3 linked regions of the Astyanax mexicanus genome follow. Each later gene encodes a partner of the first gene's protein in a complex. Links are inferred from orthologs where the notes say so. Each region holds a gene or a part of one and is shown on either strand. Other genes may lie near its edges.

Evidence for each region. Proteins that work in one complex are often made in the same cells at the same time.
Region 2: prpf6 (region 1) and prpf31 share a complex: the UniProt entries of both Homo sapiens proteins name them as parts of the U4/U6-U5 tri-snRNP complex. The link is inferred for Astyanax mexicanus from reciprocal best matches to the Homo sapiens genes PRPF6 and PRPF31.
Region 3: prpf6 (region 1) and lsm3 share a complex: the UniProt entries of both Homo sapiens proteins name them as parts of the U4/U6-U5 tri-snRNP complex. The link is inferred for Astyanax mexicanus from reciprocal best matches to the Homo sapiens genes PRPF6 and LSM3.

Annotation. Positions count from the first base shown.
Region 1 is NC_064420.1:15,937,369-15,945,840, forward strand, and holds the start of prpf6 (pre-mRNA-processing factor 6), read right to left. Parts: upstream 3,531-8,472; 5' UTR 3,493-3,530; coding exon 3,299-3,492; intron 2,063-3,298; coding exon 1,900-2,062; intron 1,277-1,899; coding exon 1,158-1,276; intron 649-1,157; coding exon 570-648; intron 455-569; coding exon 281-454; intron 1-280. UniProt on the Homo sapiens protein: Involved in pre-mRNA splicing as component of the U4/U6-U5 tri-snRNP complex, one of the building blocks of the spliceosome.
Region 2 is NC_064413.1:29,851,760-29,860,007, reverse strand, and holds the start of prpf31 (U4/U6 small nuclear ribonucleoprotein Prp31), read left to right. Parts: upstream 1-4,680; 5' UTR 4,681-4,821; intron 4,822-6,971; coding exon 6,972-7,187; intron 7,188-7,273; coding exon 7,274-7,334; intron 7,335-7,427; coding exon 7,428-7,511; intron 7,512-8,248. Other genes in the region: uncharacterized protein lmtk3, read left to right, coding at 508-842, 1,024-1,108, 2,887-3,011. UniProt on the Homo sapiens protein: Involved in pre-mRNA splicing as component of the spliceosome. Required for the assembly of the U4/U5/U6 tri-snRNP complex, one of the building blocks of the spliceosome.
Region 3 is NC_064431.1:723,831-731,871, forward strand, and holds lsm3 (snRNA-associated Sm-like protein LSm3), read left to right. Parts: upstream 1-4,473; 5' UTR 4,474-4,566; coding exon 4,567-4,590; intron 4,591-4,846; exon of another isoform or gene 4,847-4,933; coding exon of another isoform or gene 4,934-4,954; intron 4,955-6,206; coding exon 6,207-6,317; intron 6,318-6,931; coding exon 6,932-7,027; intron 7,028-7,529; coding exon 7,530-7,610; 3' UTR 7,611-7,883; downstream 7,884-8,041. Other genes in the region: zgc:171566, read right to left, coding at 242-380, 483-567, 1,837-1,887, 1,983-2,097, 3,548-3,629. UniProt on the Homo sapiens protein: Plays a role in pre-mRNA splicing as component of the U4/U6-U5 tri-snRNP complex that is involved in spliceosome assembly, and as component of the precatalytic spliceosome (spliceosome B complex).

The DNA of each region.
Region 1 (8,472 bases):
CAAGTAAAAACATTTTCTTTCTTACTCTATTAGCAGCCACATATGAATCAACATAGTTTTCAATGACAAAAAGTCAAGTGTTCATTTAATGAAAACTGATTTGCTGATTACTGATTTAAAGCAAAAAGCAGATTTCAATTTATACCAAAGTAAAACTTTCAGACTAGCATCTGAAGTCTGACTAAAGTCAAAAATACTTTAAATATTTTAATTACAGTAATGATCTACAAGAGCAATTCTAATGATACAAAAACATGAGACGCCGTGTGACTCTAACTACCTGTAGGGGGTCAACTGAGGTGTGGTTGTCTCCGGTCTGGAGGTGCTTGGCGAAGAAGCTATCAGGAACAGGAGTGAGTTTCTCGTAGCGCGGGTTCCTCTGTCTTTTGTTCCTCGCATCTCCCACATCTGGAATACTCAGCCACTCCTCTTCTGATACTTCAGAAAGCTTCCTCTACACAAACACAGAGCAGAACATGTGTTTCCATAAATATTTAATATCAAATTAAAACAAATTATCAAGTTAAAGCAGGAGACCACTTGGTCCACTTAAGAATTTGTATATGTACCTTCAGATCTGAGAACTGCTGCTGGATCTTGGGACGCTCCATACGATACTTCTCTATCTCCTCTTTTTCCCTCAGCTCCCTATAAAAATACACATTTAATTAACACACAGATATTAACAAAAGGATAGAAAACAAGCATGATTGCAAAAATTTCTAGTTTAATCATTACAGGCACATAACTTCCAAATACTTCATATTTATAGGACTTTAATTAACTATGTAAATTCTGTGTCATAGTATTTTAATATTTTACACAACAATATTTGTTTGATTTGGATATGATTGAATGTACATAAACAAATTAATACTGAGATACCATTTTGAATATCTGAAATATATATATATATATATATATATATATATATATATATATATATATATATATATATATATATATATATATATATAAACTCCTATTCATTAATTTTAGGTCAGAAAACCTTTTTTCTGTGTAAAAATATTCTGAAAAAAACTACCTATGGCAGCATAAAATGAACAATATAGCACAAAAAGTACTGCATCAAACAGAAACCATTTTTAAATATAATTCCTAATCTGACTTCTTTGTTTAGAGGAAAGAGATCTTACCTTCTCTCTTTTCGCCTCTCATCCATTCTTTTATCCAGTGCTGCATAAATAGCATCTGCCTCTTCGTCATCTTTCTCGTATGGTCCACTGGAGAACAGGCTCCCAGCATAACCATTAAACTAAAGGACATAAAGATCAACAAGGTATAGTATTCTTCAATAACAAAGCCAATTAACCATCTAAATCACTACTATTAAAACAATATAAGCAGCATATAGTGTTCTTGTGGGTGTCCAGTATGACAGTTTTTTTTTTTTTTTCACCTCCTCAACTTGAGCATGTACTGCAGACCAGCTGTTTACTCTCCACTCCAGCAAAAGATGCTCCACATATGAGCTGCTAACACATCCATTTCACCTTTATAAAGCTACGAGTCGTCTATCAAATATGACGTTTTATTGTTGTTGGTGAAGAAAGTGACGTTTATACATGTGCATATGAGACGTTTCAGGGACAGATTTCTTTACATTACAAACAGATACATACAGATCACTTTCATTTGTGAATGTGAACCGTCAGAGTAGCCAAATCCGATTTAAGCAAAAAAAACAAAAAAAAAAACAGATTTGAGCAACGGGGCTTGTAATGTGAACGTAGCTCAAACAGGTGGTTATCAGTCGTGCAGCTGGTTGTTAAGAATAAGAAACTGTAGCCACACTGGCCCAATGTGAGCAGGTTCAATACCCCTGTTGTCTATATTTTAATAACACAATGCAGCTTCTCTTATCTTATACTTAGTTACCTCATCATAGTTGGTGTCGTTCAGATCCTCATCATCATCATCTTGGTTCTTCTTCATCTGATCTCCCACTGTTCTCTTCCCTGGGGGAGCATGACGGTCATCCACTGGGTCATTAGCATCTCGAGCAGGACCAATATCAGAACGCGTGGTGAAACCTGTGGCACTGCAGGTAGAAAACATTCAGCAGGTCTTTAATTGTCAGTGTGGTTGAAATGCTGGTCACCCACACAAAAACATACCCCATACAAGTAAGCATGCTGAGTGTCCAGCTCCTGCCTGACTATACTTAAGCTGGTTGACTAGTATGATCTTGCTGGACAACCGGCTTTGTTTTAACCTGTATGGTCAATCTTGGTCATAGTGGTGGAGTACTCAGGACAGAGTGATAATGATTGTGTAGGTTACACACCTACTTAACCATTAAATGTAAATAAAAGCATACCCTATGCTGTTCAAAATCTAGCTGATATCTGAAATGAGAGTCTTGAGACTTGGCTCACGCAAAAAGTGAACAAGGTCCACAAACATTAGAAGAGCTGCGGAAGCCGTAAGGCAAGAATATTTTTCATGTGACTGTTTACAAACTATTTATAAATGAACACATTTTGCAGTTCATATGCCTTCTATGGTTATTACTTTAATATGTGCAGTATTTTAAACAGGTTGCACTTTAAAGTAATTATATTTAAAGTCTTTTTATTTTGCACTACTTTGTCTTATTGTGCAGTCTTATTTGTAATACAAACAAGTTTAATAAATAACATTACACATTTTTCAAGAATGATCTTTATTGCATTAATTTTATCTAAATCAAATGTATAGCAGTGAAACTGTGACTCTTTGCTATACAAGGTTGTAGCAAAAAGGGGAGGTTTATAGGCAGAGTTGAACACAAAATGTATTCTATCAAAAAATATATCAAGAACCATGAGTGTGGCAGAAAAATAAATTGTTAATTGGGGACAAAAGTTGTGAGTCTCTGATAAATCACAGTATTGATACACATTACTTGTATTATAATATGTAACAGTTATTGTATGTAAACTCCACCAGAAGCATGGCGGGAAATAATCTCAGAAAGAACCTAGTTGCAATCTTGCGAAAAGTGACCATGCAAGATGCCTAATCTTTGCAAAATCTTAGCCTGTAAGTAAAAAGTCTGTGACTTGTGTTTTGATGTGAGGGGGTGTCAGATTTTAGTCTGTTAAAAGACTTTTCAGAGTCGTGCAGTGAATGTTCAGCATTAGGCTAATACGGGTCGCATACAAAGTCTTCAGGACTGTAACCGATAAATAGCTAAAGATAAACTAAACAGAATTACTATCAGGGTTCTGTTTATTAGCTAGAGTTAGTTAGCTACGTTAGCTCGCACACATGCTAAAGCTGCTAGCCGGCTCACCCTCTCCCCAGACCGGGTACGTATCCGAGCGGAGCCGGCATCCCCAGAAACGGCTTCTTCTTCTTGTTGTTAATTCCCCCCATGAGCGGAGAGGCCAGGGGCATGGCCGCCCCGGCGGCGGCCGCTCCGCCGGCGGGCGCTGCGGGACCTTTAGCGGCGCCTTTCTGAGGCTGTTTCGCCGCGGAGCTCGCCATCGCTGCTGCTGCTGCTTCCACAACCACAACACGCGCGCTTCCTCTGCAGCTCGAGCTGTAGGTAGAGCCGAACTCCCTGCAGCGCCTCTGCTGGCGGGGGCGAATAGCGCACTGCTGAGGAACAGTACTGCAACCCTGGTACTGCAGTTCACAGGGTCCTGTGCCCTGGTTAAAACACCTTAAAGTGTCTAATTGTGGTCTTTAGAATGAATGAATGTGTTTCGGTGATCTGGGTGTTATGTCGAGTTATGTTACCTTGTTAAACCGTGCTACCCTAGTGTATATTTAACTGTAAAAATAAAAAAGAAGCACCATATTTCAGCATGTTCCCAGTAGAATTTCCAGTAGATGTAACGATAGCTAGCTAGTATATTTGCATAGCATAAATCACTGTATTATGGTAAATTTATGTTAATGAAAGGTAATTACGACCTCCTTTTTTCATAAAAAAAATAAAATAATATTAATAATTGTTTTTATTGTTATTTATAATTTCCATTTACACTTTCGTACAATGACAGTGCGTCTAGGTTGTTTAATGCACAAAGAAATAGACTTATTATAAAAAACCATAGACTGTATATAGCTGGACAGAGCATCGTCTCTCAAAAGTGAAGCCACCACAGGTCGGGCGCCCCCTGCTGTTCGGCTGCAGAAAGCTGTGTAACTCCACCCATCCCCATAGGTTTCAATGGCAAAACAGACAACTCTCAATCACGTTTTTTTCTAATATACTGTAATTCTACCTCCATTATTTAAATGCAACAGCTAGTGTATCCTCTGCTTACATTGTTAAAATTTAATATCCACACAGAATTCATTTTTTAAAACGTTATTCAGCTCTATTCAAAAAGGTGTGGTTATTGTAAAAGGGCTGCTTATGGGCGGGACCAATAACAGACCGTCAGCTCCGCTCCGCTCCGCTCTGCAGTCTGTGACCGCGAGGCAGCCCTCAGGGGCGGGGTTATTCAAATGAGTAGGTTGCTATCCACAGACTTTCTCCCTCCTCTGGTCTCTACTGCGCAGAATCGGGTGTCAGGATCGCCAACATGGCGGAAGATTTTGGCTTCATTTTCATTGAATGAATGGGAACGGAGACACGGCGTCCATCTTTTTTTACAGTCTCTGTAAAAAACACACACACAAGAAATCATCAAAAAGGGTAGGTCAGCGCATGCGCAATGTCTTTAGAGAGCACATATTTATATGGGTAGCATTATTCGACAGAACAGGTGTAACGCTGCTGTAGTCAAGTGGCGAAGTAAGCACATAACAACCCAACGCATATATCACTGATGTGTTATTTGCACAAGAGAAAAGCAGAAACGGCTCATAACGGAAATGGCAAGTGATACGCTTATTTACGTTTTTTTAATGTTACACCCAAAACACGACCACAATTAATTAAGAAAATTAGCTCACGCATTTTGCAAGTTTCAAGCTGCACAAGGCATACTTTTCCCGTCTTTACAATAGCATAGACACACTGACAGGAGCCAAGTAGGTCCAAACGTTATTTGGTTATGCAACTGAGTTAACCCATTTCCCGCTGACCTGAGGCGTCACTACACGTTTATGAATAGAGTGGCTGAGCTTTAGGGGAACTAGCAAGTGTGAGTAAGAAGTCTCTCAGAAGAATAAAGAAGCTCCATATGATGAAACAGCTTAAAAAATAGAAACATACAACTGTTCATAAAAAACTGGATTTTAGGAGCAAGTTTGCTCTACATTACATATATTATATGAATTTCCCCCTTCTGCAAGTGAAAGCAGGTCAAAGTTGGCATGGGTAAACCAGTAAGCCTGGCCTGCTGTTGTTGTTGCACTATCACTATCTATACTGCAGGGGGCAGCAGAGGCATGCTTTTTTTTTCGAGTTAACTATATATAAAACTATAGCTTGTGCGCTCTGTGTTACAGACGGTGTAGGTTTGTTAAATTTTTTAATATAAAATATAAATTAATTTCCAATTGTATATTATTATAATGATTATTATTATTATTCACTCTCTTGCTTGAATTGTTTAAGGTATGTTGAATGATGGGCGTCTAAGAATTTCCTTAAGTTAAACCAAGACAAAACTGACATTATTATCTTTGGAAATCCTGATTCAGTTAGCATAATAGCCAGTGAACTCTGGCCGTTAAACACCAACGTGCATGAGCATGAAAAGAATCTTTCATTGAAGGTTTCATCTTCGACACTAACCTACATTTTGAGAAAAAAATCAGTACCGTTGTAAGAGGAAGTTTTTTTTATCAGCTTATTTCCTCCTGTGTCGCCTACTGAACCTCACTGTACCTGGGTATCTGCTATGTCTGCAGTTGGTCCGAAATGCAGCTGATTATCTCCTGAATGGGACCAAGAAAATGGAAAACATCACCCCTGTTTCATACAGCATTACTACTAGCCCTTCAGCCGTCAATGGCATTGACCCCCCCCCCCCCCCCTCCCCTTAACACTTAATATTTTCCTGCTCTGAAATAAGCATTCTTGATAATGTTTCTGATACAGACGCATCAGATTTTCAGTAATAATCACACTCTTAATAGCACACCTTTTTGTATAGGAGGGGAAACCACATAAGGACACTCATTAAAACACATTATTGATTTTTCTTGCTCTAGAGGCGACACAATTATAATTTATTGCAGGACAGGGCGCCCTAAAGGGCATGCAGTCATTTTTTTCTCCCATGTGAAGGTCAGCTAATAGAGCCCATTGTCTCATTTTTGCTTCTTTTGAAGCCAATTTAACACAAATATTTCAACCTCAAAAGAGGAAGTTAAGAAACACATTAAAAAAAAAAGGTATGACTCCGCCTCTAAGCTGACATCATGTAAAAAAAAAAAAAGTGAGGACACAACTTATTAAGGCATGGGAATGACATCCTAAGATGTGACTATGACTTATTAAGGCGTAAAAACAATATCCTAATTCGTAGCCATGACTTATTAAGGCATGCGAACGAGATCCTAATCTGTGGATCACACCTTATTAAGGTGTGGGAATTACATAATTAAGAGCCAAGAGTTATTAATGTGTGGGAATGAGATTTTAAAGTGTGACCACGACCTTTTAGGCATAGGAAAGAGACCCTAATGCGTGACTTTGACTTATTGAGGCATAAAAACAAGATCCTAATTCGTAGCCATGACTTATTAAGGCATGGGAACTAGATCATAATCTGTGGTTACAACTTATTAAGGCATGGGAATTATATAATTAAGAGCCAAGAGTTATTAAGGTGTGGGAATGAGATCTTAAGGCGTGACCATGACCTTTTAGGCATAGGAAAGAGATCCCTAATGGGTGGTCACGAGATTCTAAGGCTTGACCATGGCTTATTAAGGCGTGGAAACGAGGTCCTAATGCATGACCACAACTTATTACAGCAAGGCCACGAGATCCTAAGGTGTGACCATGACTAAATAGGGCGTGAGAATTCAATTATTAAGTCGTGGCCAAGAGCCAAGGTGTGGGAACGAGAGCCTAATGCATGACAAGGACTTATTAAGGCGTGGGAACGAGATCCTAGTGCATGACCACAAGATCCTAAGGCTTGACCACAAATTATTGAGGCGTGGGAACGAGATCCTAATGCATGACCACAACTTATTATTGCATGGCCATGAGATCCTAAAGTGTGACCACAACTTATTAAGGCGTGGGAGAGAGATCTAATGCATGACCACAATTTATTAATGCGTGGCCACAAGATCCTAAGGTGTGACTATGACTTTTTAAACCATGGGAACAAGATCCTAATGCATGGCAACAAGATCCTGTGGCCTGACCATGACTTATTAAGGTGTGGGAACAAGATCATAATGTTTGGCCACAAGATCCTAAAGCATAACTACGACTTATTAAGGCATGGGATCGAGATCTTAATGCATGACCATTACTTATTAATGTGTGGCCACGAGATCCTAAGGCCTGACCACGACTTATTAAGGTGTGGGAACGAGATCCTAATGTGTGGTCACGACTTATTAAGATGTGGGTATGGGATAATTAAGTCATGGCCAAGACTTATTAAGGCATGGGAACAAGATAATTAAATCATGACAAATAATCATTAAGGAGTAGGAACGAGATAATGAAGTTTTGGCCAAGACTTATAAAGGCATAGGAAGGAGATAATAAGTCTAAGCCAGAGTATAATAAAGCTTGCTTTTCTGTGAATTATTGCTCATGAAGAAATTGAATATTACATCAAAGCTCCAATCCAAAAATAATCTTAAGTAAAATAAAATGGAATGTGATTTAGTTTCTTTTAATTTTCATCTGGGAATAAAATATGGCAATATTTTGGGGTGGCATAATTGAAAGACGCACAGCATACAGACCCGTTTAACTTCCTTGGGACGTCATACAATCCCTGAGAGCTGGGTGCTTTGTTAGCCTGACACCCCACCAACAGTCTAATTTTACATCTTACACCATCTGTGCCGTAAAATAATGATGGAGTTTATAAATATATCTATGCCGATGAGCGTGGTGCTTTGAAAGTGAGGTGTGTTCAGGGACATTTCTGGCTTATTGCTATCTTGGCAGCAGAAAACACAGGTGTGCCACTGACTGATTAAAACCCTGACAACAGTCAGATGCCCATTCCTGCAAGGCTCATGCTTACACCCCCTGCTCCTTACACATACAGAAGCACTGCGCCGTTCAAATACCAATCCATCAAAGTCAAAGCGCACTGGGTTTGTTTTCTAAAATAAAAAAACATTCAGATTCATGCGAAAAAAATAAATGCTATTTCATTGCTTAGTATGAGCAGATGCACTAAAAATCCGTCCATTTTTAGAGCAGTAGATGCTCTGCACTGTCCAAAGGATTAATGTAGACGCTCTAATCTCTTGGCCTTTTGACAGCTTTAGTTGATTTTACAATAGTGATAGACCAAGTAGTGACCTTTTAGTGACTTCTTTCTGTAATAACTACACAACGCAGTACATATACTTTTACTC
Region 2 (8,248 bases), on another chromosome or scaffold:
CATCACAAAACATCGAGATAAAAATGGACAGGTTTTGTAAAAATGTACCTGAACCTGCTATTTGATGGCTTCCGGCTCTCTCCCTCACTTTCTGCATTGTATACAGTAGCGCTTTAACACACAGCCACTTAACAAATACTAATATTAGAGAAAACACTGCAATAGTTTTGTGTTCAGTGTAAATGATTAAGTGTTTTCATTTATTCTGAAAGTGCTTTTTTTGCCATGTTCAGCTAAATAAATTTGGTTGCCACATATTCAGTGTATTCTTTCAAAAAAAAAACATGATAAAGCATTGTATTATATATTATGTATCTGATTGTATATTATACAGATTTACTCCATTTATCAAATTTATTAAGAAATCAGATGTCACTTGCAGAATAATGACCAGGGCTAGATAATGAAACGTCTTAAACACTGCAGTAGGTTTTGATGTGAGACACTTAACCACACTTTCTCACCCTCTTCAATCTCTGCTTTTATTTTTATCACCCCATTTTCCAGCTAAACTGGCTCGTCTCTCTCTTTCCCTCCCTCCGCTGGAACTTTCGCTCCCTCTCTCTCCCGGCCCCAAAGGAGGATTCTGGGACAGGACTGACCACAGAATTGGTCGCAGACGGGGAGTTTCGAATGGAAGTGATCCTGAAGAAGATGAGGAGGAAGAGCAAGAGGATGAGTCATCCAGAAAAGTTATTGTCATCACGGAAACAGATGTTCACAAGCGAGTAGGCCTGAGGAGCTTGCTAAAATCGCCCAAGGAACCCTTGGACAAAGAGAATCGTGATCACGGAAGAAATGTGTCCTTTTTTGATGATGTCACTGTCTATCTTTTCGATCAGGTACCGGTCACACATTTAACTTTGTGTAGAGACTAAAATGTGTCTAATATTCTAAAAGAACTGCCTTTAAATCATGTTCTTTGTCCAGAGAGAGGAGAAATGTTGTTAATGTAATTTTCTTGTTGCAGTAAGGCAGATGTTTACACTTGATTTGTTCTTTACTAATTAACTTATCTTGTAGGAAACTCCAACTAATGAGCTGAGTTCTGGCTCTGCACCCACAAGCCCGTCTCCCCTTGGAAAGCCTGCTCACTTCGATGGACTTGGTGAGGGCTTTCACATTTAGCTGCATAAAGCTAATGCAGAATTTACATAAACATATTAAATTAAATACATTGCAGAAAACTGAGAAGACCATTATTTTACATCATCATGTTGTGAACCATGAATATTCATTCAAAATGTTTGCTTGCTGATTAGATGAATACAGAATTTACATAACTTACTTTTAAATATTTTTTTAAGCATTTTACATCAATATGTACTAAATTATGTGCATTCCTTCAAATATGTTTGTCCACTGGTTAGAGAACTGCTGCCTTTTCACAACGAATGCTTGAATATAAAACCACTTCTTTTAAGTGCCAGACTGTCTGACTGTGAGTTTGAGTTGCATTATTTATTTGATTAATTTTTCACAAATCAGCACTAAATTTAGATGCTCTCATTTCACAGCCCCTCTTGGAGTGAAAAGCAGTTCAAAGCTCTGCTCAAGTCTATTTCAGGAGTACTGGATCCTGAAATCCTGAGCTTTTATATAACAAGAGATGAGTAGGAGAAGTATAGTGCTGTTGACCCTTTGATGTGGTTTAATCTGAGTTAATTAATCAGCTTCACACTGTGTAATCTAATGTTTGCATTTTAGATCAAATTAGCTAAAGCCTTTAATCTGATAAAATGCACTTCTTAAAGCTAAATATGGAAAATTATGTCTTTATTTATATAACTTTGGTAAAGTGGGCAGGACAACTGTTGTGAGAAATGACTAACACACTTCATTTACTTCTTTCACCCTTGATATTGGTTTTATAGACAAAACAAGACAACCATATTAGTGCTAAAAGAAAATGTAATTTTTTTAAGCCATCGTTGCACATTTTGTATTTAAAACAGTGGTGTAAATGTGAAGTTACTGCAGCAAGCTTGCACTAGTGAGTTCAAGCGCTCATGGAAGTTGTAGTTAGTTAATCTTAGTAATTTATTCATGAGACATTATAACTACATGATGTGTGCAGTATTGAATAATACTTCCTTACTGCCTAAGGCATCTACTTGTGGTAGGTGTAGTCCATCAAGTAATTTAGATGTTGGGATTGGGCCTCAGTAGGCCACAAAATACAAAATGCCCCAAAAGTTAGATTTAGAAGTAACCTGTATAACTTGTGAGATTTATAAACAGACCTCTTGGAGTCCATCTTAGAAATCCCAAGTCTAAGGCAGTATTTCTCAATTAAAAAAAATGAAGAAATGTTCAAAAAATTGCACCCTATGGTAAGCAAACCTGTTTCAAATCCAGTATTTGTTCTATGTACATTTGTCTCTTAATAATTCCCAGACCTACGAGATTGTTAAGGAATCTTAATTTTAACATCCTTGCTAAAAGCAGACCAACACACAGCACTAAGTAATAAATTGCATGTAATCATTTAAATAGTTTATCTTTAACATTATTTTAAAACAACACCAGCAACTCTTTTTAAAACTTTTTTTTACTACTGTCAATGCAAGTCAACTACAACATTTAACAGAGCTTTGATTTGGTTTAGGGTATTTTGGTGAGGTCAGTCCAAAATCAACAATATCCATATTTTAACAGTCTCATAATTCATCCACTACTAGCGTACATGATTCCTTATGTATTTCTTTAAAGTCTGTATCACTTCAGTATTCAGGAAAAAAATAATAAAAACATTGAATGAGAAGGCTTGTAGAAAAATGCAAAATATTTTTATGTTTTTTTTTATTATAAAAAAAAAGTGCTGTGGGACATTAAACTTAGCTTAATGCTTTATCTTTTTAATCACATGTATGTTTTTTCTGCTAGGAAGCAGCAATCACAAGACCAGCAAGAACAAAGACCACATAAAGCCAAGGTCTCCCACAGGTGTCAGTTCAGTCCCACCATCACGCTTCACCGTCAGCCCTGCCAACGACCCACATTTGGTGTGACCCACTATTCCTTCCTATACACCTGGAGAAAATGTAGCTCTCTGGAGTGACAGAGTTTCTCTGTGGTCATCGTGAAGCACGGTGGCTTCTGGAGGTTATTTTTTTAAATCAGGCTAAAGACTCCTGTTTTCAAGGCTGGAGGTGTTCCAGGTTTTACTTTGCTGCGGGAGCAGGTCCGTCCTGTGCAAAGCAGGAACCTCTACAGCCACGCAGCCGGGAGCTATGTAAAATCTGAAATGGAGTTTACGGCTATGCAACGGGAGTCTTATTGTGTACCAGCTTAACTGCTCTATTTTCATGGCTTCTTGAAGTACATTTGTATTCTGATCCTCTTCCACACAAGAGGAAGCACTTTCTTTGACCAGTACCTGTCTATTTGTGAGCTCGAATAGAAATATTGCCATTGTAAATTTGTTCTCATTGCAGTCAAACATCCTCGTAGGCTTGAGAGGGAAATCCCACCCTCCCTATCTAACAGTGCAGTGCTCTTTTAGTATTTGTACAAATGGATAGTGAATTTACTGTACAAACTCCATTTTAAAACCATTTATTTTAGATGTATTGTTAGAACGCACGACACAAAATGAACCTGCTACCTACTGTTATGTTTTATACTGTATTTTTTATTGCAAATTGTTGTTTGTTTCTGTATTTCTGTTTACTTCATTGTGTATTTAATTATTTATTTATTTATTTACTGTACGACTGCAACAATTGCACAATTACTTTGCTTTAATTGTTTTTGGATGCTGTGCATTGTTGAAATAAGTTGCTTCATCCATCTCATTAAATAAAACCAGATATTTCCATAAGTATAAATGCTTTGAAATATTTTATATCATTTACCGATTTCTAGATGTTAGTCTGTATCTATTTGTCATTTACTGTGTCTGTTTATAAATGTTATTTTTAACTGTGTATTTGACATGTTCTCGTCATTACTTACATTCAAAGCAATTACTGTTGCTAAGCATGGAGGAAAAATGAAGGCAGTGCACATGTCCATGAATTGATCTGTTTATTCAACTTTAATTTGATGATCAGTGATTGGTGTCGAAGGTGAATCAGAACATTTGTAACGTCGCTTTCAGCATCTGTTTCATTGCGAGGTTTCTTGAGGAGGTTCTGGGTAACCAGGAGTGGTAAAAAACAAAGACAAAAAAATAAAACAAAACGAATAAAACTAAATCACATGGAGACTGTGAAACATTTAATGAATTGTTTGATGAAAATAAATTGTACTGGCTTATAATAAATACCCTGCTGTATTGAAATTTTTGAGAAATATTTAAAATTTCCAAACAACTTTAATTTCATGTAATTTATTTAAAATAATTGATTAAAAAAATATAATAAAGCTTGATTGATATGGGCGCAAATTATTGAAATTTTAATTTAAAGCTGTGAATTGTGTTTTGTCAGAGCTGGTTTACGCTTCCTCAGATATAGCTCTGAAAAAAAAGAGTCCACTTTGACCAAATATTAAACTTTTTGCATTATTTGAGGTCTGAAAGCTCTGCTTTTTTGTAATTTCAGCCATTTCTCGTTTTCTACAAATAAAAAAGTGGTCTCTTATTTTTTTTTTTTTCAGAACTGTATGCCTTTTGTCTCAGTGAAACTACATTTCCCACAAGGCTTTGCGATCTACTGCGCTATTAACGACGCGTTTAACGTGCGACCGTTACGACGAGACTGCGTTGTTTGTGAATGGTTTTGGTTAGTTTCGCTCGTTTTTAAACAAACTGTATTTTGTTTGTAGTCTGTTACCCGTGCCGTGTTCCGTTGTGAAGGGTAGGAACGCGTTTATAAGGTAAGTAGTAATGAGTTTAGTCCTCTTTTAGAGCTTACTGAATGAAATTATAGCGAATAGTTCAGTCCGGTTCAGTCGTTAGTTACTTAGGCGTGCTTAGTTTACTGATAATAAAGTATTTTAAACTGTTATTTCTGTTAGAAACTATCACTGTAACTGCTTGCATTACCAGAACTTAAAGTGTGTGGGTTAGCACTAAGCATGCTAAAAAGTACTTTTAAATCATGTAGTTAAGCTAATCTACTGTGTTTTAGTCTCTTTTTAGAGTAAAGGAATTCTGTTGTACTTGCTTGTAGCTTACTAGCTCTCTTCAGTTCCAATTTCACATGTATTTAGTTTAATGATGTGTGAATGAACAGATAAAGACTGAGTTTACCATTCTCATATCTCCATGTTCTAAACAGAGTGGTCAGGTAGGCTCTAAGACCTTTTTGCTGTTTAACATTTTTTAAAAACATTTTCTTCAGTTTTTGTTATTGAGAAATACTGCCTTAGACCTGGGATTTTTAAGATGGACTTCAACAGCACAACAAACATCCTCAAGAGGTCTGTTTATAAATCTCACAAGTTATACAGGTTACTTCTGAATCCAACCTTTGGGGCATCAGCATCCTTAGCTGCACTATATTTGTTTGGGTAACCAGCAAAAGCTGTTACAGCCAGAAAAAAAGGTCTAGGGACCTACCAGACCACTCTGTTTTTAGAATTAATGTAGGCCTATGTGACCTATATTTGAAGAAGTGGTAACCAAAGCACACTGGTGCCATTTATTTTTCTGTCTTTTTTTCTAATGTTTATCCAAATTTTGTCCCAGTTTACACAGTTAATTACCCAACCCACTCATTAGGACCCCTATCATAATGCCCCAACATCAGGAGGATGTAGATTAGCACATGCCTCTTCAAATACATGCCTGCCAATGCAGCATTGCCCTGTAGCCAGTGCACTCGAAGGAAAGCACATCGACCCGGTTCGGATACATCAGCTCACAGAATTAGCTTTTATTTGTAATTAAATTAAGCTGTTTACTTTAGAAGGTGATTTGTATCCATATATAACCTTTTTCTTGGTACAAAGTTAAAGTTCCTTTATTTATCTCCCAAGGAAGAAATTTTGCTTAGACACAGGGCATGCTGCAATACAACAGACAGACAAACCTAGACAGCAACATGTGACCAGAAGCCATAACATTGCTGTACATCGATGACTTGGTGTATTACATTTTGTACTTCTACAGAACCCCACAAGCCCCATACAACAAGGGTATACTTAGACCTCAATGTTATTTAGCTGCTCTGTGGTACAAAATGGTGTTTGTACCTGTTATTCCTGCACAGGGGAACCTTGTATCTCCTACATGAATTCATGAGCTGATACTCAGGATACAGCGCATGTGTGTTATCAGATATAATATTTGCTTCTGGTATTTAAGGATTTATATCGAACAGAAGTGAATCATTTAGTTTTCCCACCCTCTATTAACACTCTCCAGCCCGTAAAGCTGTGGCTGCAGTAGATGCAGGCTTACTTAAAATGGACAAAACATATAGACTGGTATGATATATCTTGAGGTCTGCTATGAACAGAATCTGGCACAATATTTTGAATGCATAGACCTGACCCGCCTTGTTTCAGCAGTTCTGACACAAGACACATTGCTGTGGCCCCTGGAGATCAGTAAGAGTTGAGGGCCCAACATTGGCGGACCGCCTAACTCTGGTATCAAACCCAAACCCTTTTCCTCAATGGTCCAGTGCTTTAACAGCTGATCTACCACTGCCCACAAAGGTAGAGGTGGTGTAATGATATTTTCTAAGCAGTGGTTTGAGTATTTTTGATTTGTGTACATTCCTGTAAGATCATAATTAGATTATATTACTATTTCCAGGATGATAATTTATTATGTCAGAAAGTAAATGTAGCAATGAGAATAATACAAATGAGCAGTGCAGCGTGTTTTTCCAGACTGGTCAGAATTCCTTAAAAAATATGCTCATAAGTTTTCTCCTTTAACTTCTTTCAAAAGCATAAAAAAGCTTTGCTGATTGGAGCATACTGAGCAAAAGACTAAATAGGTGTCTAAATAATTTAAGAGACCCAGCTGATAACAGATATTACAAATTGACTCCTAATAATGCCTTTCTTCGCAGATGTCTTTAGCGGACGAGCTGCTGGCAGATTTGGAGGAAGCAGGAGATGAAGGTGAAGATGGACTGTATCCAGGAGGGGAAGGCGAGGAGAGTGATGGCGAAGACAGAGAGAGAGAGGACAATGGAGGCCTGGAAGACATACCAGAGGAGATGGAACTGGACTACAGTGGGGCAGAAAGCGTGTCGTCCATCGCAAAGTTACGAAACAGCAAATCAGTCAGTACCCCAATGAGTAACTCAATCACTGTTCATAACACCTGCTCACTTTCTCTGTCTCTAAACTGTGCTTCTTGTTTTGGCAGTTTTCTGAAATCATGGAGAAGATTTCTCAGTATGTAGGGAATCCACGCAATAACACAGATGGTAAGAAGCAACCTCCTGGAATTAGGTTGGTGGTCCACGTGGAGGTGTACCCTGAATAGCAGCACTCATTTATTGATCTTTTCCCACTTACAGTATCCGGCCCTGTGGAAGCAGACCCCGAGTACCGGCTCATTGTTGCTGCCAACAACCTGACTGTGGAAATCGATAACGAATTGAGTGAGTTTGGTTTAGTCATTTTTCTTCTTATGCTTTACATACGTTTTTAGTTTTATTGTTTGGATTGTGTGTTAAGGAGGATTAGGGGTGTCACGATTCTCTAAATCCTCTACTCGATTGTATTTCCAATTTTAGGGTCACGATTCGATTGATTTGGTTCTCTTTTTTCTTTTTCTTTTTTACAGCAGAGAGGCCTATGCCAGTTTTAGATTAGTCTATGGTCAGTCATTGGGTTGATTCAAGTGATCTGTAATACACCACATTAGGCACTAATGGTCGAATTTAAATAATTTAATTAAGATATATATGTAATTCTGTCTAGTGGCTTTTTTGGTAGCAGCAGTGTGCACTAGTAAAAACAGCAATGTCAACCTAGCAAAATAAATAATAATAAAAAATACAGGAACAGTCATGTACAAAATAATAGAACATTTACAGCCTTAACAAACTGAACTCCATCCTACTATAACAGTTAAACATGAAAAATAAGACTTTAAGATTTTTTCGGTCAAGTTTTTTTTCTTTGACAAAGATTATTGACTATTAACTTTATCAGAGAGAAAGATGCTCCTTAAGTTACCAAAACTATTAACATATTTGAGGCTAGACAAAACAACTGTTATTTTTTATATTTTTTAAGTTTTTCTTTAAGAAGATGAGAATGAGATGAAATATCGAAATCGTGACACCCCTAATGAGGTTACAGTTTGTTGGGAACTGAGTAAAAGCTGCTAGCA
Region 3 (8,041 bases), on another chromosome or scaffold:
TGCTGTAAATAAATGCTCTAAATGAGAATATTTTTATTTGGAATTTGGGAGAAATGTTGTCTGTAGTTTATAGAATAAAACAACAATGTTCATTTTACTCAAACATAAACCTAATAAAGTCAGATATAATGTGCCATTGGTATATTTTTTTAACAATTATTTTGTACAAAGCTGCAAACTTTATAAAAAATATATGTGTTTTTACATTTAATGATGGAAAGTAGCGTGAGAATCCACTAACCCTGGGTAAACACGAGTGGTAAAGCCACAGCCTTGGTGTTGGTTAAAGTCAGCAGGTTTTTGCTGCTGGTCAGAACGGTCAGCTGCTGAAAACCCTGACAAGTTCCCCATATAGGGAAATAATCGGCTGCATCGTTGGCCTACAGAGAACAGAAGAAATAGAACTGCATTTATAACAGTATTTATATAACATATATTTATTAAAAATGGAGAAAAGGACGTCCAAATGTCCAAAACTCTACCTTAATTGCCAGTTCATAGAAGATCTTGGACACTCGACTGAACTGGGATTTCTGAAGGTCAACATCTCCACCTGGTAGCAACAACCTACCATATAAAACAAAGATTTATTTAGAGACTGGACGGAGATCAGACAGTGATGAGGGTTTAATTTATCATAGTAATGTTTGGTATTGAGTATTGCTATCAGAATCTAAATGCGGGTATCGTGACAATCCTAATCTTAAATCTCTACGCCATTAATTATATTTTTAGAAGGAAAAATTCCGGTGCAATTTCCCAGGAAATTTCTAGTATAAATGCGCACAAAAATAACTTTAAAATACATTTTATTATTAGGATTAGTGTCTTGTACATTGACCTAATTGCAAAAGTAAGATATGTAATTAAAAACGACTGAACAAATAGCATTTGTTACCCATTCTCCCCACTCTCTAACTATAAACTTTACCATGAAATATAATTATTACAATCCTTCAGAAATGTTATTTTTTTGCATTGTTGTGTCTAAATCTAAGTCTAAATTCCATCTATGCCTTAAAAGTATTTTTCATATTTTTAAAACTATTTTTCACATATTTTCATAATAAATCCATAATATTTAAGCTGAAATACACTTTTTAGTTGTGTCCCCGGGTTTTACTCAGTCCTGTTACTGTAGCTCATTACCCCATCTGCTGAAACATCTGAAACATTCTACAACAGGAAGTCACATCAGCTGGTTCTTCTGAAGACCACGGGAAGACCAAAATTAAGTAAAAACTACAAACTCATTCCTGTTACTTTCAGTCTTGTTACTCAAGACATAAAAAAGTCCCAGTAACAGGAGTTCCAGTATTAGGAAATTAGTTCCTTGTAAAAAATGAAGTAAAGTTGCATGATTTGATCAATATATATATATATTTTTAAAGTTTAATATATGTGTTAATAGACTCAGAGTAGAAAAAAAGATTTAAAAATAAGTTTAATTTGGAAGAATTACAACAAGCAAATGTCACCCCTTCGGTGGAATGGCGGACATATATTTTTTGAAAGATTGGGAGTACCTGTGGATATATTAAATATGAATTTCTATTTTGACTTTTGATGAAAAAAAAAAACTGAAACACTAGTGGTCTACCTGCATAACTTTGCCCAAAAGCTTTAGTACATTTACAACGAGAAATATAGTAAATAAACCTATTTTTATTTTTAATCCACTTGTATGTCTTATTATATTGGACAGAGACATGTACTATTGTACCATTATATTTACAATCAATAAATAAAAATACACATAAATACATAAAATAAGTTAAGGTATTTTAGTTCAACCGTAAGAAAAACGTAAAACATAAAAAAATACTGTGCACTAACCCGTTTATTGCATAGAATATTTTTGTGTAGTCCTCTTCTGAGCCATTTATCCTGCAAAAACAGATAATCTTTAGGTCAGTCACCTGATCTCTGACCTGTAGAATCTGTAGTTTATATTCATGTTAAGCTCCTAAAAAAAACCCTACCTTATTGGCACAACCCGGGCACCAGCCGACTCCAAATACTTCACATAAGAAGCGGCTATGTAGGAGGATCCTTGGGCATGAGTGTCACTTTCTAGGTTCTCCTGAGCTAGAACACCTGATACAGAACAGGAGGGAATATAAAGAGTCATATGTTCACAAAATTCTCAAATTTACAAATTTTATTTCACTTTTTCAGTTTTTTTTTTAAATTGAAGTCATTAAAAGAGTTTATCCTGCGTTTGCTACACAGGGGATGCTTTCTACTAAATGTTGGATTAGCCCTGTTGTGACAATTTGATTGCATTCAGCTTCAGGAGCTTTAGAGAGGTCAGGATATTGGATAAGATGATCAACACCCAAATCCCAACTCTCAAACCCATCACAACCCATCTTCCAACCCTTAAACTATTGGCAGGAGCACTAAATTTCCAGAAAACACAGGTCTGTCACTTCTTCACAGCTCAATGATTGGAAAAAATGTGCACACAAACTCATCCCAAAATCCTAACTCACCCCCAACACACCAACTCATCCCCAAAACATCCCAACTTATCCTCAACACTCAAGGATTCAAGGAGACCCAAAGTCATCCCCAACATCTCAACTCATACCCAACACCCCAACTCATTCCCAACACATCCTCAACACCTCAACTTATCCCCAACTCTTCAACAATATCCCAACTCATCCTCAACACCCCAACTTATCCTCAACACTCAAGGATTCAAGGAGACCCAAAGTCATCCCCAACACACCAACTCATCCCCAACACATCCTCAACACCTCAACTTATCCCCAACTCTTCAACAATACCCCAACTCATCCTCAACACCCCAACTTATCCTCAACACTCAAGGATTCAAGGAGACCCAAAGTCATCCCCAACACACCAACTCATCCCCAACACATCCTCAACACCTCAACTTATCCCCAACTCTTCAACAATACCCCAACTCATCCTCAACACCCCAACTTATCCTCAACACTCAAGGATTCAAGGAGACCCAAAGTCATCCCCAACACACCAACTCATCCCCAACACATCCTCAACACCCCAACTCTTCACCCATATCCCAACTCATCCTCAACACCCCAACTTAAAATAGTTTATCCTGTTTTTTGTTAGAGTAACTGTAACATATATATTGTTTAAGAATATCCTCATCTACTAGAGTTTGCAGTTAAACATTGCTGTGAAGATTTGACTGTATTCAGGAACCACAGCTAAGAGCTACAATCCCCAACTGATTTTAACAGAAAACAACAGAAACCCGCTCAGAAAACACAACTCAGATCTGGAAGATGTTCTTTTCTCCACAAAATCCTCCATAGAACCGCTCAGAAAGACCCAGTAAACCTAAAGAACAATGGCGAGATGTTTCCAGAACCTTCCAGAGAACCGAGAAAAGCCGGCGGAGCTTCAGCTCCAACCGAGTCCAGCTTCCGCAGGGCGTGGGGAGCACTGACGGTACAGACTCAAAACGCCATATTTATCACAGCAGCAGATCTACAGACGTTAGAAAGCCGTTAAACGTCCGTTAAACGCGGTTTTCCGCGAGACTCACCGATGACGGGTCTGTAGTTGAGGGGGACGCTGGCTGAGGCGCACGCGGCGAGCACCGCCCAAACCACGGCCGGGAGACACATTCACTACAGGTGTGAAACTAATAGAGAGGCTAAAATCTGTTAAAATAGTCAAAACATTCAATTTAACGTTAATTAAACGTCAGAATCGCAGGTTCTCCGCGCGCGCGCCCACTGACAGGATGGATGCTCGTGCTGCTGCGCGTGAACTGCAGTTTAGCAACAGCAAAAAAAAAAAAAAAGAAAAACGTGAAAAACGAGAAACAAAATAAAACTAAATTAAAATGTATACGTAACAGTTTACGCATTTTGATGCATTTACATTCATTAGTTGTTTATTTTACTGCGAATTATAATTTTTGTAATATATATTTTAATATTTTAATCTTAGTAAATTATAATTTTTATAAAAAATCAATTTCCAAAGCTCAGTTTTGGAATTTCCATTGCCACTTACCAGCTGCAAGCTCTAAATAACTAAATAATTTAAACAATATTTTTTTTTCTTTTTTTTATCTACTTTTACAGCTTATACATGTTTTGTGTACTTTTACTTTTAGAAGCTTTAGTTAATTTCGCAAGCAAAACAAATTTTTATGACTAACTTTCAATGAAATAATAAAATAAAATAAATATGTCAATTGTGAATAAAAACATATTAATATTGTTAGACCATGGATTATTATATTTTTAATTTCTCACTCATAAGCAAAACCCTTTTTCGCATTTTTGTATTTCTTTTTTTATATTATAAATGAATAAGCGTACAAAAAACATAAATAAAATAAATGATTGCAGTCATTAGCACAAAAAACCCGTGGTGTTATAAAATAAGGTGAAATATTTAGTGAATAAAATGTTATTCGTCTAATTATTTAAAAGTCGTGTTGCTCTCAGGTGATGCTGCTGATGAACTCACAGTGAGCAGTGTTCACACATCCCATCGGTTTGAGGTTAGAACCTGCATGAGATTATAGGTTATATTCGACCAGTAGCTTCGATGGCACCCGTTGTGGAGATACAGGTTTGTGTTAATTTTATATTTCAGTTTTTAAGTCAAAATAGAGCCACTAGCAGTTGCTAAAATGGTTAATTTATGTGTTTTAAATAAATTTTGAACCCATAATGAAGTATTGTAGCTCTTAAATGTCAACTCTGCCTGGAATGAATCAGAACTGGCTGAATATTTGAAGCCTATCATACTACACGGTGTTTTCCTGATTATTCTGATTAATCATGCTTTAAAAAGGATGAACGGTGCCAGAAACAGATCAAAATTCAGGTTTTAAACATAATAGTGAACAGGTGGTGATGTTTCGCGCACATGAACGCGCGTCTTCCCGAGATGCACATTGGGTACTGCAGGAATGGCGGACGAAGTTGAACAGGTTTGGAGATTTTAGCTGTTTATTTTATTTAATCTCATTTAAAACACATAATCTGAGGCTAGTCTATGTGGTCAAGATTTCATAATATTAGGATGATCGATTAAACCAGTTTTAACGGTTTATAGGTATTTATATGCAGGGTAATAGTAAATTTAGCCGGCTCTGCTAAGCTAAGCTAAGCTAACACAGCTTTTATACAGGGTTATAGTAAGGTTGGATGGCTATGCTATGCTAAGCTAACACAGCATTTATATGCGAGGTATTAGGAATATTAGCTGGCTGTGTTAAGCTAAGCTTATGCAGCGTTTATGTACAAGGTAATAGTAACGTTAGTTGGCTTTGCTAAGATAAGCTAACGCAACGTTTATATGCGGGTTAATAGTAAGGTTATAGCTAGTTGTGCTAAGCTAAGCTAACGTAGCGTTTATATGCGGAGTTATAGTAACGTTAGCTGGCTACGTTAAGCTAACTTTGTTTTCTGTTTTAGTGCCTATAAATCCTGTATTTAAGCAACTGTGGAGTAAATTATTCATCTAGCTGCAGCACTTTTTTAGTAAATTAGTATTTTGCATATTTTAGCTAAAATCTTAATCTCTAAACAGTATTCATATCTAAAATGTTAACATAGGTTACATATAAGAGATAGATAGATAGATAGATAGATAGATAGATAGATAGATAGATAGATACTTTATTAATCCCAGAGAATATAGTAATACTATCACATCAGAATGTTTTTTTCTGTATCACATTTCTCTTTGAGGACAGATCTGCAGACTCCCAGTGTCCCTTAATCGTTTTTTTTGTCTTTAATGGTACTCTACCATATAAAAATAAATAAAGAAAAACATTGAATGAGATGGTGTGTCCAAACATGTTTACTGGTACTGTACCTAAAAGTAACTTGAATTGTGCATATCTTTCTTCTTGTCATATAGTGTCGTTACAAAGAACTTGAATTTGAGGTACCATAAATTGCCCCCCAAAATGTTATGAAATAGTTATGATATTTTAAATTGTTCTGAGGTTTAAGAGAGTTATGAAAGAATGCACTGAACACATCAGCACCTTTAAAAAAAAAGCAAGCAAAATGTAAACATTTTAGAATTCGCAAGTTAGAATGTGCAAAATCTGTTCTTGGGTGGAAAAATACAATGCTGTTAGTTAAATGCACATTAGTATCAGCAGGTTTGACACTTCCCTTTAAGTCTTATGTTTAAGTTTATGTATAACTTTATAATTTCATTTGCAGCAACAGACCACCAACACGGTCGAGGAGCCGCTGGACCTCATTCGGCTGAGTCTGGATGAGAGAATTTATGTAAAGATGAGGAACGACAGAGAACTTCGCGGCAGATTACATGTAGGACTTTTTATAACTAACTGTGTGTGTGTGTGTGTGTTAGTGTGTGTGTGTGTGTGTGTTAGTGTGTGTGTGTGTGTGTTAGTGTGTGTGTGTGTGTGTTAGTGTGTGTGTGTGTGTGTTAGTGTGTGTGTGTGTGTGTGTTAGTGTGTGTTAGTGTGTGTGTGTGTGTGTTAGTGTGTGTGTGTGTTAGTGTGTGTGTGTGTGTGTGTGTGTGTGTTAGTGTGTGTGTGTGTGTGTGTTAGTGTGTGTTAGTGTGTGTGTGTGTGTGTTAGTGTGTGTTGTGTGTGTGTTAGTGTGTGTTGTGTGTGTGTTAGTGTGTGTTGTGTGTGTGTGTTAGTGTGTGTTGTGTGTGTGTGTTAGTGTGTGTGTGTGTGTTAGTGTGTGTGTGTTAGTGTGTGTGTGTTAGTGTGTGTGTGTGTGTGTTAGTGTGTGTTAGTGTGTGTGTGTGTGTGTGTTAGTGTGTGTGTGTGTGTGTGTTAGTGTGTGTGTGTGTGTGTTAGTGTGTGTGTGTGTGTGTGTGTTAGTGTGTGTGTGTGTGTTAGTGTGTGTCATTAACTGACTGCAGACCTCTCATACTGTATCCTGTGTGTATATACACACTTTTTTTTTAGGCTTACGACCAACATTTGAACATGATCCTCGGGGATGTGGAGGAGACGGTAACAACGGTGGAGATTGACGAGGAGACGTATGAAGAAATTTACAAGGTATGAATTAGTGCTGTGCGATATGATGATAAATATCGTGGGGACGATAGAAAAGTGTCTTCAATCATCCCCATCATTTCTACAGTAATTTCATCAATTATTCATGCAAAAATATAAAGTAGGCTACGATGAAATGTATTGGCGTGCTTCATAATGTGGTTTTGCGACGTGACTCTGCTTTACGCTGTTTGACGGACACTTTAAAAAATGTTAATTGAGTTTATTTTGATAGCTCAATTCAAATACCTGTATAATTTTGAAAACATCAGCTGCTGCATCTACCTCATCTGTTTTTATTTGATACATATATATTGCTGCACTAAAAGGTAGTAATTCTTATTTGTGAAAGTTGGGTTTAATGTCACTTTGAAATAAAGTAATAAAGTCTCCATATTTTAAGAAATATCAATTTGTTTTTAGATATATCAGATAGATATAAAATGAGACAATATTGTTTATTTTTGTCGTCTGTTTCTGTCTTTCTTGTTTTTTATATTTTTAGTCTACGAAGAGAAACATCCCGATGCTGTTTGTCCGTGGAGACGGTGTAGTACTGGTTGCGCCGCCCTTAAGAGTTGGGTAAAAAAAAAATTAAGAATGGAAGCCACCCTCCTCCATCCTCCTCCACCCACTCCCTCCGTCTCTGTAAATTGTGTTCAGGAGAGCATACCTGTGTTGTCTTTTGGTAGATCACAGAATTGTGACTGTAATATTATTTTTTTATTTCTTTAGTTGAAAAGTCCTGTTGATGCTTAGCGTGCCGAGTTTTTAGGTTGATGCTAGGTGGTTGATTTTGTACGTTTCAGTTCATGGAAATTTGGTATTTTCACAAACACAATAAAACAAAATATCATGATTTGTTCTTTGATGGTGATTTATTCAGGATACTTCTGGTCAGTTTCAAATATTGTAAAACATCTCTGAATAAATTTCCTGTTTCTGAGTGTTTTCTGTTCTCGGTCTGATGCAGAGGTGCTACTTCTCATTAGATAGAAGTTCTAATCATTAGATTAC